Schizosaccharomyces pombe: one gene and its partner. The protein of the gene in region 1 interacts with the protein of each later gene in a pairwise test. Each region holds a gene or a part of one and is shown in the gene's direction. Other genes may lie near its edges.

Region 1 (4,626 bases):
TAAATTCGACGCGACAGTGAATTAAGAAATTTCAAAAAAGCTCTATAATTTCGTGAAACATAATTAAGAAAAAAATTGGTTAAGTTTAATTTCCTACTTGAGCAAATAGATGTTCATGCTCGAGCTCCTAGCTACACTCTTCATCACATACATAACCACCAACACGGGGGTTTTCGATAATTTCTGACATGGCGTCAATGGTACTCGCGGATGGTATGCCTACAGTTAAAGATGATTCCACTAGAAGCAGGGGTTCCGACGTTGATTCTTTCACATCTACAGATAATGTAACGCAAATAAATGTTGAGGCAGCCATTTCAGAAAACAAGAATGAAGAAAAACCCATTCAGGATAATTCTGAACAAGAGGTAATCAATTATTTAAAATTCCTTTACTAATATTTAGTTCAATCCGCACGTTAGTATAATCCAGCGTCAGTTGAACGGATACGTTGGATTCGCTAGTCTTCCTAATCAATGGCATCGTCGTTGTGTTCGTCAAGGTTTTAATTTCAACGTATTAGTATTAGGGGAAAGCGGTTCAGGGAAATCTACACTTGTGAATACGCTATTGAATAGAGATGTTTACCCACCGACCCAGAAATCTTTAACTGGGGATTTTGGAGTGAACCCAGAACCCACTGTTATGATCAACTCTTCTGCAGTTGAAATAGTGGAAAATGGTATCAGTCTTCAATTAAATGTAATTGATACACCCGGTTTTGGCGATTTTATTGACAACACCGATTGTTGGCAACCAGTTTTGACAGATATCGAGGGTCGCTATGATCAATATCTTGAGCTTGAAAAGCACAATCCTCGATCTACTATTCAAGATCCAAGAGTTCATGCTTGTATATTTTTTATTCAGCCTACTGGTCATGCTATAAGTGCTATGGAGCTTCGAGTTATGTTGGCTTTGCACGAGAAAGTAAATATTATACCCATCATTGCGAAAGCCGATACACTAACGGATGATGAACTTAACTTTACGAAGGAAATGGTAAGCCCTAATCTTGATTTAAAGTTGCTAATGAAAAAATGATAGATTTTGAGAGATATCCAATACCACAATATCAGAATTTTCTTCCCTCCGACATATGAGACCGATGATCCTGAATCAGTGGCAGAAAATGCAGACATCATGAGTAGAATACCTTTTGCTATAATTGCTTCTAATACATTCGTGGTCAACAATGAAGGAAAGCGCGTCCGCGGGAGGCGGTACCCATGGGGCGTTGTTGAAGTCGATAATGAAGAGCATTCTGATTTCCCTAAGCTTCGTGAAATGCTTATTCGAACACACTTAGAAGAACTCAAAGAACAGACAAATAAGCTGTATGAAGCGTATCGTACTGAACGGTTGCTTAGCAGCGGAATATCACAAGATCACTCCGTTTTTCGTGAAGTCAACCCTAGTGCTAAACTCGAAGAGGAGCGTGCCTTACACGAAGAGAAATTGATGAAAATGGAAGCAGAAATGAAAACCATTTTTTCTCAGAAGGTTCAAGAAAAAGAAGATCGTCTTAAACAATCTGAAAACGAGTTACGTACCCGTCATCGCGAAATGAAGGCAGCATTGGAGAAGCAAAAAGCTGACTTAATTGATCACAAAAATCGGTTAATGCAAGCTAAAGCTGCGGCCGAAAATGAGAAGAGTAAAAGGAAGTTTTTTAAATAGTCTCCTTACTAGCTGATATTTATTTGTATGACACCGCAGTTCTACTGCTATCTCCTTCTTTGTTATTTAATTACTACTTAAAGTCCAATATTGGGCTGTATATCTTTCCTTGATTATTCTACCATATGGAGTCGTTAATTTTTATCGAAATTTTCTTTTTTAGGAGGTTCACTAATTGACATTTTGCTTGAACAAACAAATTGAAACAGCCGGCTTATCTCTATTCAACCCGTTAAAGTGGGAGTTTGCTTCTTTTATTGCCAGTGTATTTTTCAATCTATCGAAAAATATCTATTTTCCAGTCAGTGGGGGTATTTAGACAGCTAGATTTCAGTTGAAAGAGTCGAAAAAATTTTGATGCATATATTATTAGAAGAGATTTGCTTGCGACGTCGTTTTTAGACTTTAGTTTTTGCATAATTTTTGTTCGGTTAAACGAAAAACACTGTTGCAATTGATACCTTCTCGGTGTTATAGAATAGTAAATATGAGATTTGTTGTAAGTCATTCAATACAAAGATCGGTTTGATGCTAAATACGTTTACTTGCTTGAATACTATTTACCACTGTACAAAATGTTTATTTCGAACGATAAATTTAGCGGGGTATTAGAACAAAGTTACTTGGCCAATTTGAAATATTTGAAGGATCATTATGAGCTTCTCTTTCTTTGTAAGTATTAGTAAATAAATGAAATTTATATTTACATATATGCCACCAGTATCTTTAATTGTAAAAAATGTTGATACTCAAGTTTCTTTATTATTATTTGAACGGTGACTTATATAATGATACATAGCGATTAGTAAAAAAGGTAGCAACCTCTACATATTTCATTAATTTGATGAAGGTCAATGTAGTTAATAACTCATAACGTTTTTTTAAGTACTTTAATTAATGATCCCAAAAATCGCTAGCAGAAACAAAATCATTAGAGCGTTTTGAAGTGTTAGCTCAGGCTGACTATGACTTTAAGGGATCACCATTTTTATAATGTAACATACACCGCATATCGATTGTCTCCTTTGTTTGGGTTTGAATATTCAAACTTGACTGAAATAGGTAAAAAGCTTACGAGATTTCTTCGCTATGGTACTGATCGTACTGGTTACTTTACAAATAGTACTAGGTTTGCTGACTTGATAATTGAGAAAGCTACGTTTACGGAGTTCGGAAACACATCTAGTTTCCCTAAATTTTTAAAGCTGGATATTTCGTATGAGACGTCTAGTGATTTAGAGGTGAAACGCAAAGGCCAGATGTTTTTCTTCGAGTCATTTCGGAAGTTCTCCCACGCGGAGGCTGACAGAACACGTTTATCGCTTGAAGGGAATTCTGTATTCTTTTCATTAGCTCTTGTTCGTATGGATGGGGCGCTATGGATGGCCGTTGAGCAGTTCCTCCAGCAGGAATTTGATACACAAATTTTACCATGCCTAATTGCTCCAGAAATACTTTTAGAGTTTTTGAAAATTTGGCAAAATCATGTAAATAGTCAAACAGCCCTCCCGCTTGAGTTGACCTGGACAACCGGAAATCCTAATCTTTCATCAGTCACAATTTCCATAAGACCTGAAGATTTAAAAAAAATTTTCCGTAGCTCCTCATTTTTCTACCCAATTCTTATGGAACATATCAAAAGGTGTACTTCTTTAGATTTGACAAACTCAGTATTCTCACTTTCCAAAGTGAACACTGATTGTGCCATTCTAACATCGTCCGGCAAGCTGAAAATCTTTTCTAAAGCTCAAAATATTGTATTTGATGTTTTGTTAGCCCTTGAGCCCATGCAATTGCCCGAGTATTAATGAATTATAAGGGTTTAAGTTTGTCACTATGCGTTGAGCCTCTTTCCTTCATGCCAGCTTTACATTTATGTCAAAGAAATGATACACTTGCTCCTAAATACGTGAATGCAAATTGACTGATCAGTTTGCCGTTATATTTATATTTAGCACTAAAAATACCATTAAGTTAAAATTATGTTAAACTAGAATAATAATATTTTGGTAGTATTTTTTTTTTAAAATTACATAATAGTTAACTACAGTATCCTCCATAATAAATTTGTGTACTACAAAATCGGTTTAGTAAGAACTGGTCAAGAACACTTATAACCTCTACATTGTTCGTTCACCAGCTTAACAATACAAGTTCAACAAATGTACAAATATTATATATATTTGAAATATGGATTATTAACTTAAAATTTTTAGCACTCCAATATTATACAACCGAAACCGATTTTTATTGTATCCATGCAAGATCACAAAACATCAACTCAAAAGATTCAAATTATACCCGCTTTTTGTTTTTTTTACTAGTAACCACTTTAAACGCCGAATTCCATTCAGTACCTTGCTTTGGCTTGTTACGAACAACCTGACTCCAAGCACCACTAGAGTTACCCAACTCTGATTGAGACTTATTGTTAGATTGTTGCCCATCTTTGCCAGTTAAATCGGCTATACGACGGCGAGTAAACTCACTAGCAAAGCGACGTCCATCCATAATAGTACTATTAGCATAAATGGAATCCGAGATAATCTCAAAAGTTTCAACATTATTTTCAGCTGGCAAAGAAAGTAACATATCGAGAAATTCTTCGTAATTAACACCTTCATTCAAACCTTTCAAAGAAATCTTGCACCATGCTAAAAAGTCCGGCGAATGACCCGACATTGACACAACTTGTTGTAATTTTGATGAAGTAGATGCTTGAGAATTACCAGCATTTAATGTAGCCGAAACTTTAGAGGGAGAACGAGTCGTTTGTTGAGCAGAAGGAGATTGCTGATTAACGATTTTCCCACCAGGTCCAACTACAGACCATGTATCCTCGCCTTCGAACGTAGAGGTTTCTAATATAGATGTTACATTTTTCATTGTAACATTACTAGAAGGGGCAGCTGCCTTTGGAGTGTTAGCATTTAATGCATTAGAACG
Region 2 (5,718 bases), on another chromosome or scaffold:
AAAACAATTGATCCCCTCCTATGATGAAAAAAGGATGCGGAAGGTATTACAGAAGTTTTTCTTCTTTAAGAAAGAAAATAAGAATGGTGTCCCTAAGCTATATGGCACGTATAGCAAGGGTGTCGAGAAATTTTCGGAAAAAATTGTAAACCCTCCAACAATCGGTTGTATTCACAATTGAAATTAAGAATTGGAAGAGTTTCTCTCACGAAAACCTATTACCTTGGCGTTTAGCTTTTCGAGAAAAAGAAAATTGCACGGTCATACAATTTCGCGATTTTTCAAAAGAAGGATGGCAAAGAAAGATATTTCCAAAGAGGCGAAACCTCTTAAATCTAATTTACAAACGATAAATAAAAAGCGCGAAAAACTTGCACACGAGCAAAAGTCCAATTTATATATTGGAATGGAAGATAGAGTAGAAAATGGGAAACGCGAATAAAGTACTCTTTTTCCTTCATATATTGTGATACCTTGGGCCATCCGACTCAGATAACAAGATGATACCTTTAACCCGTTGTTACCGTAGCACTCGCTGAATCAAGGTACTTAACGACTGTCGGTAAACGGAGTCGTGCGCCGTTTACCGATGAGGGATACGTAATCGCACATTAGGACACCTTCAATCTCCCTATATCTTTTGGATAGATCGAGAAATTGCTAGAGGAAAGATGGAACGGGATTGCATTAAAAAATAGAGGCAATAAATTAAAAATGTTTCAATCAAGAGTTCAAAGATTATTACAGATTTACTACTCATTTCTGTAAAGCAATGGTTATTGCGCTGTCTCGACTGCTGTTATTTACCTGACACACTAGGGGCACACACTAGGGGCACACATTGGCGGCAACCCGAATGGAATACAAAAAATGCAAATTTTGATTTCAATCGACCAATGCTATAAATGAAAAAGACAAATAAAATCGAATCATATAAAAAAACAGAATAAATAATGAGACAGACAGTGGAAATGATCCAGCGGCATCGAGAATTTAAAAAATCGGCTCTTCTCTAATAGTATCTTTTTGCATTTGCAACGGAGCGCATATTACAAATCTAAGGTTGAATACTAATTATTACGAATAATAAGCTATAAAACTATTTTTTTTGGAAATAAACAGCTATTTAGATTAGAGTACATGAGTACTACTGTTAGTAAACAAAACGACATTCACTCTCTATATTTATGGCAAATTTTTAACAGCTAATTTTAACAATTTCTTGAGTTGCCACTCAAAGTATAAAGAGATATGCCTTCTTCGATTTACTTGTTGAAACTACCAATTTAAATAATAGCTGCTAACGGCTTCTAGTGATATTCCTTAAACGGCAATCGCCATTTTAAGGAAGAAAGGCCAATTGGTCGCACTAATAAGGACCTGATTTGAAGCCGCTGTAAAATAGGGTTTTCCCTTTTTTGCTGAGTTCGCGTGAAGGTTGTAGGCGAAATAAAGTGACAATATACATTCAAAATACAGACTTCATTATGGGAACTTTCATTTTCTTTATAGTGGTAGCAGGATAACCTAGCCTTTGTGTATAAGGTGATATCCTTTTACAGAGGTTAGCTATGGATTCTTGTAATACAGCCAAAAGTACGTACATAAATTTTGAGTAAAAAATTCGGGTATGGTTGAAGGAGGCGTAAACGGAAGCATTTTCTTGGCGTTAATTGAACATGTTTCGCACTTTAGTCTTCTTACTATGTCATGAAAAGAGCTATTTTAATTATTGTACGGGGTGGCTTGCTAAATATTGATCTGCTAGATATAAAATTAATAAATAAATAATAAAATAATAAAAAATTTTGTAAAAAGAGAAGCGAAAAACCAAACCGACTTAACTTTTTGTAAATAAATATATTTAATTTTATTTACTTTTGAATTTTTTTTTCAGCCCTATTCAAGATCAATTGACCCCTTTTTTGGCAAAATTTCACCATTGCTGAGATTTCGGCATCAGAAAATTTTCACATACTATGGTGAAAAAAAGAAAACAGTCAAGGCGTAGCATCGCAAATTTGGATTCATACAAGAAAAAAAATCTCGTCAGCAATACGCTTAATAACACCGACTGTAATAAATAATGGTGGTTTAGCACTAATATAATCGTAAGTTAATAAACAATCATCAATTGGATGGCCAAGCCAGAAGAAATCCCAAAAATAAAAAAATTATAAAAAATGATAAATCTATTTTTAATCTCTTAAATTGTTATTGCGGTAGGCCGTTTTTTTGAATGTCAATTGCTCAATCCGTCTTTTCCACTATTTGGGTTCATCCCTTGGTAGCGGCTACTTAATATGCTTCTAGGTAGGGTTCATTTCTTCTCTGGAATTCCCTTTCTGACCTTCATTCTAAGGAGGCATGTTTGTTTCTGTTTACCGTAATCTACGCTGTCAGCACTAGTAAGTTTCATTTCCAACGCAATTTCGTATTTGTTTGCCTAACATTATATAACTATAAAATGCATTCAGAAAAACAGAAAAGCGCTTAGGCAATTAAGTTTATATGTATTGGTTAGTTATACTGGAAGCAAAAATGAATACACCTTGCCTTTTCGCATGGGTCTGATTGATAGGCTTATTCCATGACACATAATGTACATCCTGTACTACACGTAAACAAGAAAGACAACACTTACGTCCCCATATATTGTTTTGTTTGGCTATTTAGGCTATATTTTTACTTAATGTTTATTTAATAGAATAATGACGATGAATGAAACGTCTGCTATTCCGGCAAGACAACGAGAGAATCAGTTTTTTGAAATTGGTGTCGTAGGCAGGTACGTTCGCGAATTGGGTTCCATATATCGTAATAATTATTCTTTTTTTAATAAATTTACTAAAAAATATTTTTATCTAGAAAAACAGGATTCACAGTTCCCAGAGACGTTAAAAAAGGCGATGATGGATTCGAGGATATGGATGCTTATTTTCTTTCCGACGGTTCCATCCATTTGGACGAAGATAATGGAGACATTGAGCAGGATATGCCGCCAGTAACAAGACTTCAACCTACGTCTCCAATGGCAGTCAATGCTGCTTCTGATGAAGCTTCTCATGCCTCATCTTCTGACTCTAGTGATAAAAACCCGGATATTCCTTCTTCACCATTGTTGATGAATTCGAGAGCTCTTCGGGCTAGCCGTGGTTCGTCTGGTCCTTTAATTGGTAAGGTTCTATCTACGCATCACAGATTTTTATTTTACAACTCCTCAAATACTCTACTGTTACTTTCCGTTTCATTTCATTGATAAAATTACTAATTATACATACAGTACCTATAGATCACTCAGCTTTTCAAGCGGAAGATGAAGGAACCGCTGATAAGACGAAAGTCGATGGCAACAAATTATCAATTCAGCCAAGAAAAGCAAATCGAATTGTCGATTTTTCTAGGATAAAAGCATCTCCAGATAGAAAAAAATTCGAACCTCGAAGAAGTACCGAACTTCCTTCCAAAATACCATCCTCTACGCCCAAGGATGATAACGTTCAAGAATCGCCTGCATTCCCCGATGAAAATATTACTGCTTTACAAAAAAATGTAGCGAATTTTACTAGTATCAAGGATAGTGGTGGTCGCGATAATCTTTATATACAAACCATTTCAAAACCCCGTAGAAGTTATGTTCAAAATAATAAGTCAGAACAGACGATTAAGCCTTCTAAACAGAATAAGCAAAAAGAGGAAAAGAAAACAATATCCCAGGGCAACAAACCAAATTCTAGAGATGAAGATTCCGAACTTTCTATCGATGTCCCGCTTTCTATGCTTAATCGAAGCCTAGCAAACAATTCTCAAAAGAATAAGAAAAGAACACCTAATAAACCTTTACAAGAATCAAGCATAAATTCTGTTAAAGAAGGGGAGTCAAATCCAGTAGTCAAGAGAAAACGTGGTCGACCTCGTAAGAACAAATTAGAAATCGGCAATTCTGTTCAAACTAGTGAGGCTACACAAGTTAAAGGCGCAAAGAAACCTGCAATTAGAAACGCGAAGAAGATGTCCAACGAGAAGGATGACTCATTGAATTCACAATCAGATTCAGCTTCTGGAGAATTTATTAAAACAATTGCTCGAAATAATTTACAGGAAATTAAACAGGTCGAACGTGAAGATACACTAGTTGGTGTCCGAAGGTCGAAACGTACACGAATAGCACCACTAGCATTTTGGAAGAATGAGCGTGTTGTATATGAATTACATAGAGATGAAAATCGAATTCCAGCACTACCGGAAGTAAAGCAGATAATCCGAGTTGACGATCCATCACCTTCAATTCGTCAAGGTCGCAAGAAAAGGCATGCAAAGCGCTCAGGAGTTGAAATAAAAAGTAACTTGGAAGCAAAATCGAATGATGTTGAAGAATATGATGCTTTTTACAAAGACGAAATAAACTGTGAAGTTCTATCTTGGAATGAACAAAACCCAAAAGCCTCTGAAGAACGAGTAGTCGGCTATTCATTGCCTTCTGTAAATCTCCAGCAAATCTCTAATCAACAACTAAAATTTGCCAGCTTGTTCAAGGAGGAGCCATCTTTTGCTGCTGGCGTCGTTGAAATGCCAGCAGGAGCAGAAAAACCAGTGAAGCCTTCGAAACACAACATAATGTCTTTTTGTATACTACAGGGAAAGATCGAGGTCACAGTAAATGCAACCACTTTTCGAATGAAAAAAGATGGAGTATTTATTGTTCCAAGGGGTAAGTTTAAATATACACATTTCTAAAAATTCAAACAGGAATTATACACCGAGAATGTGTTTTGACTAACATTGCTTTAGGGAATTATTACAGCATAAAAAATATCGGCAAAGAAGCTGTTCGACTTTATTATACCCATGCGACCGACACCTTGGAAAATAAAAGAAGGGGAATAGGGGATTTTCCAAACGAACGATGACAATACTAATAGTGTGTTATGGATTTCGATGTACAAAAGTCATTTAGTCGTTATGTAATTTAATTATCTGTTATCAATTTAATCATATTAATAAAGTCATTTTTTCTAAACTTATTTTTGCATCATTTCCTTAAATTTAAGCGTTTTACTGTAATCGTCAATTAATTCAGTTAGCCTACCAATATTCATTTTTGTCGGATCAACAGTCAACTTTTTTCCATCCTCTAAATAATAATTATTAGCAAAAGTCAAATCTAACGGTCGCAGTTAAACCATCTAGCTACTTAAAAGCCTTACTGTATACAACTTCAACAGATGGTTTTGAATTGGTATCCTTTGATGCAAGACTGGTAATGAGATTAAGTCCATAAAGAGAGTTGCTGGTTTCTTTACTGGCAACTGCTAGCAAAAGTTTCGCAGATTGACTAGCTTTGGAAAACGGGTTCACATTCAAAATTGACAATTTATTAATGTACCCAAATATCATGATTAAAAATTTTAACTGGAGAGTAAAGTCGTCAAGGAATGTAATTAAAAGAGATCTTTATGTGTAGATATTTTAAATACATTAAATGGTGGTAAGTTTTGTAAACGAAATGACATTTGGTAAGCTAGGTGACCGTTACCCTGATAGTCTCACTTCCTACAACAACTAAGTCAACTTGGAGATACAAACGAAACTAGTATGTCTCTATAATACAATTTGTCATTCCAATTTTATATAGAACCTCGGTTTCCGCTTGTGAAATATTTTTTCATGAACAATTGCAATTTTGATTTTATCCAACATGACTACCGATGTGAAGGC

Evidence for each region.
Region 2: the proteins of fta1 (region 1) and cnp3 interact in a two-hybrid assay, tested with the Schizosaccharomyces pombe proteins (one study listed by BioGRID).

Annotation. Positions count from the first base shown.
Region 1 is NC_003424.3:4,852,898-4,857,523, forward strand, and holds fta1 (kinetochore protein fta1), read left to right. Parts: upstream 1-2,496; 5' UTR 2,497-2,645; coding exon 2,646-3,488; 3' UTR 3,489-3,709; downstream 3,710-4,626. Other genes in the region: mitotic septin Spn1, read left to right, coding at 189-368, 406-1,002, 1,048-1,680; mpd2 (GYF domain protein), read right to left, coding at 3,976-4,626. UniProt on the Schizosaccharomyces pombe protein: Component of the kinetochore, a multiprotein complex that assembles on centromeric DNA and attaches chromosomes to spindle microtubules, mediating chromosome segregation and sister chromatid segregation during meiosis and mitosis.
Region 2 is NC_003423.3:4,125,562-4,131,279, reverse strand, and holds cnp3 (centromere protein), read left to right. Parts: upstream 1-2,613; 5' UTR 2,614-2,711; coding exon 2,712-2,788; exon of another isoform or gene 2,789-2,868; coding exon 2,869-3,176; intron 3,177-3,283; coding exon 3,284-4,711; intron 4,712-4,791; coding exon 4,792-4,910; 3' UTR 4,911-4,962; downstream 4,963-5,718. Other genes in the region: mrpl44 (mitochondrial 54S ribosomal protein mL53), read right to left, coding at 5,022-5,134, 5,208-5,397; F-box protein Pof12, read left to right, coding at 5,699-5,718.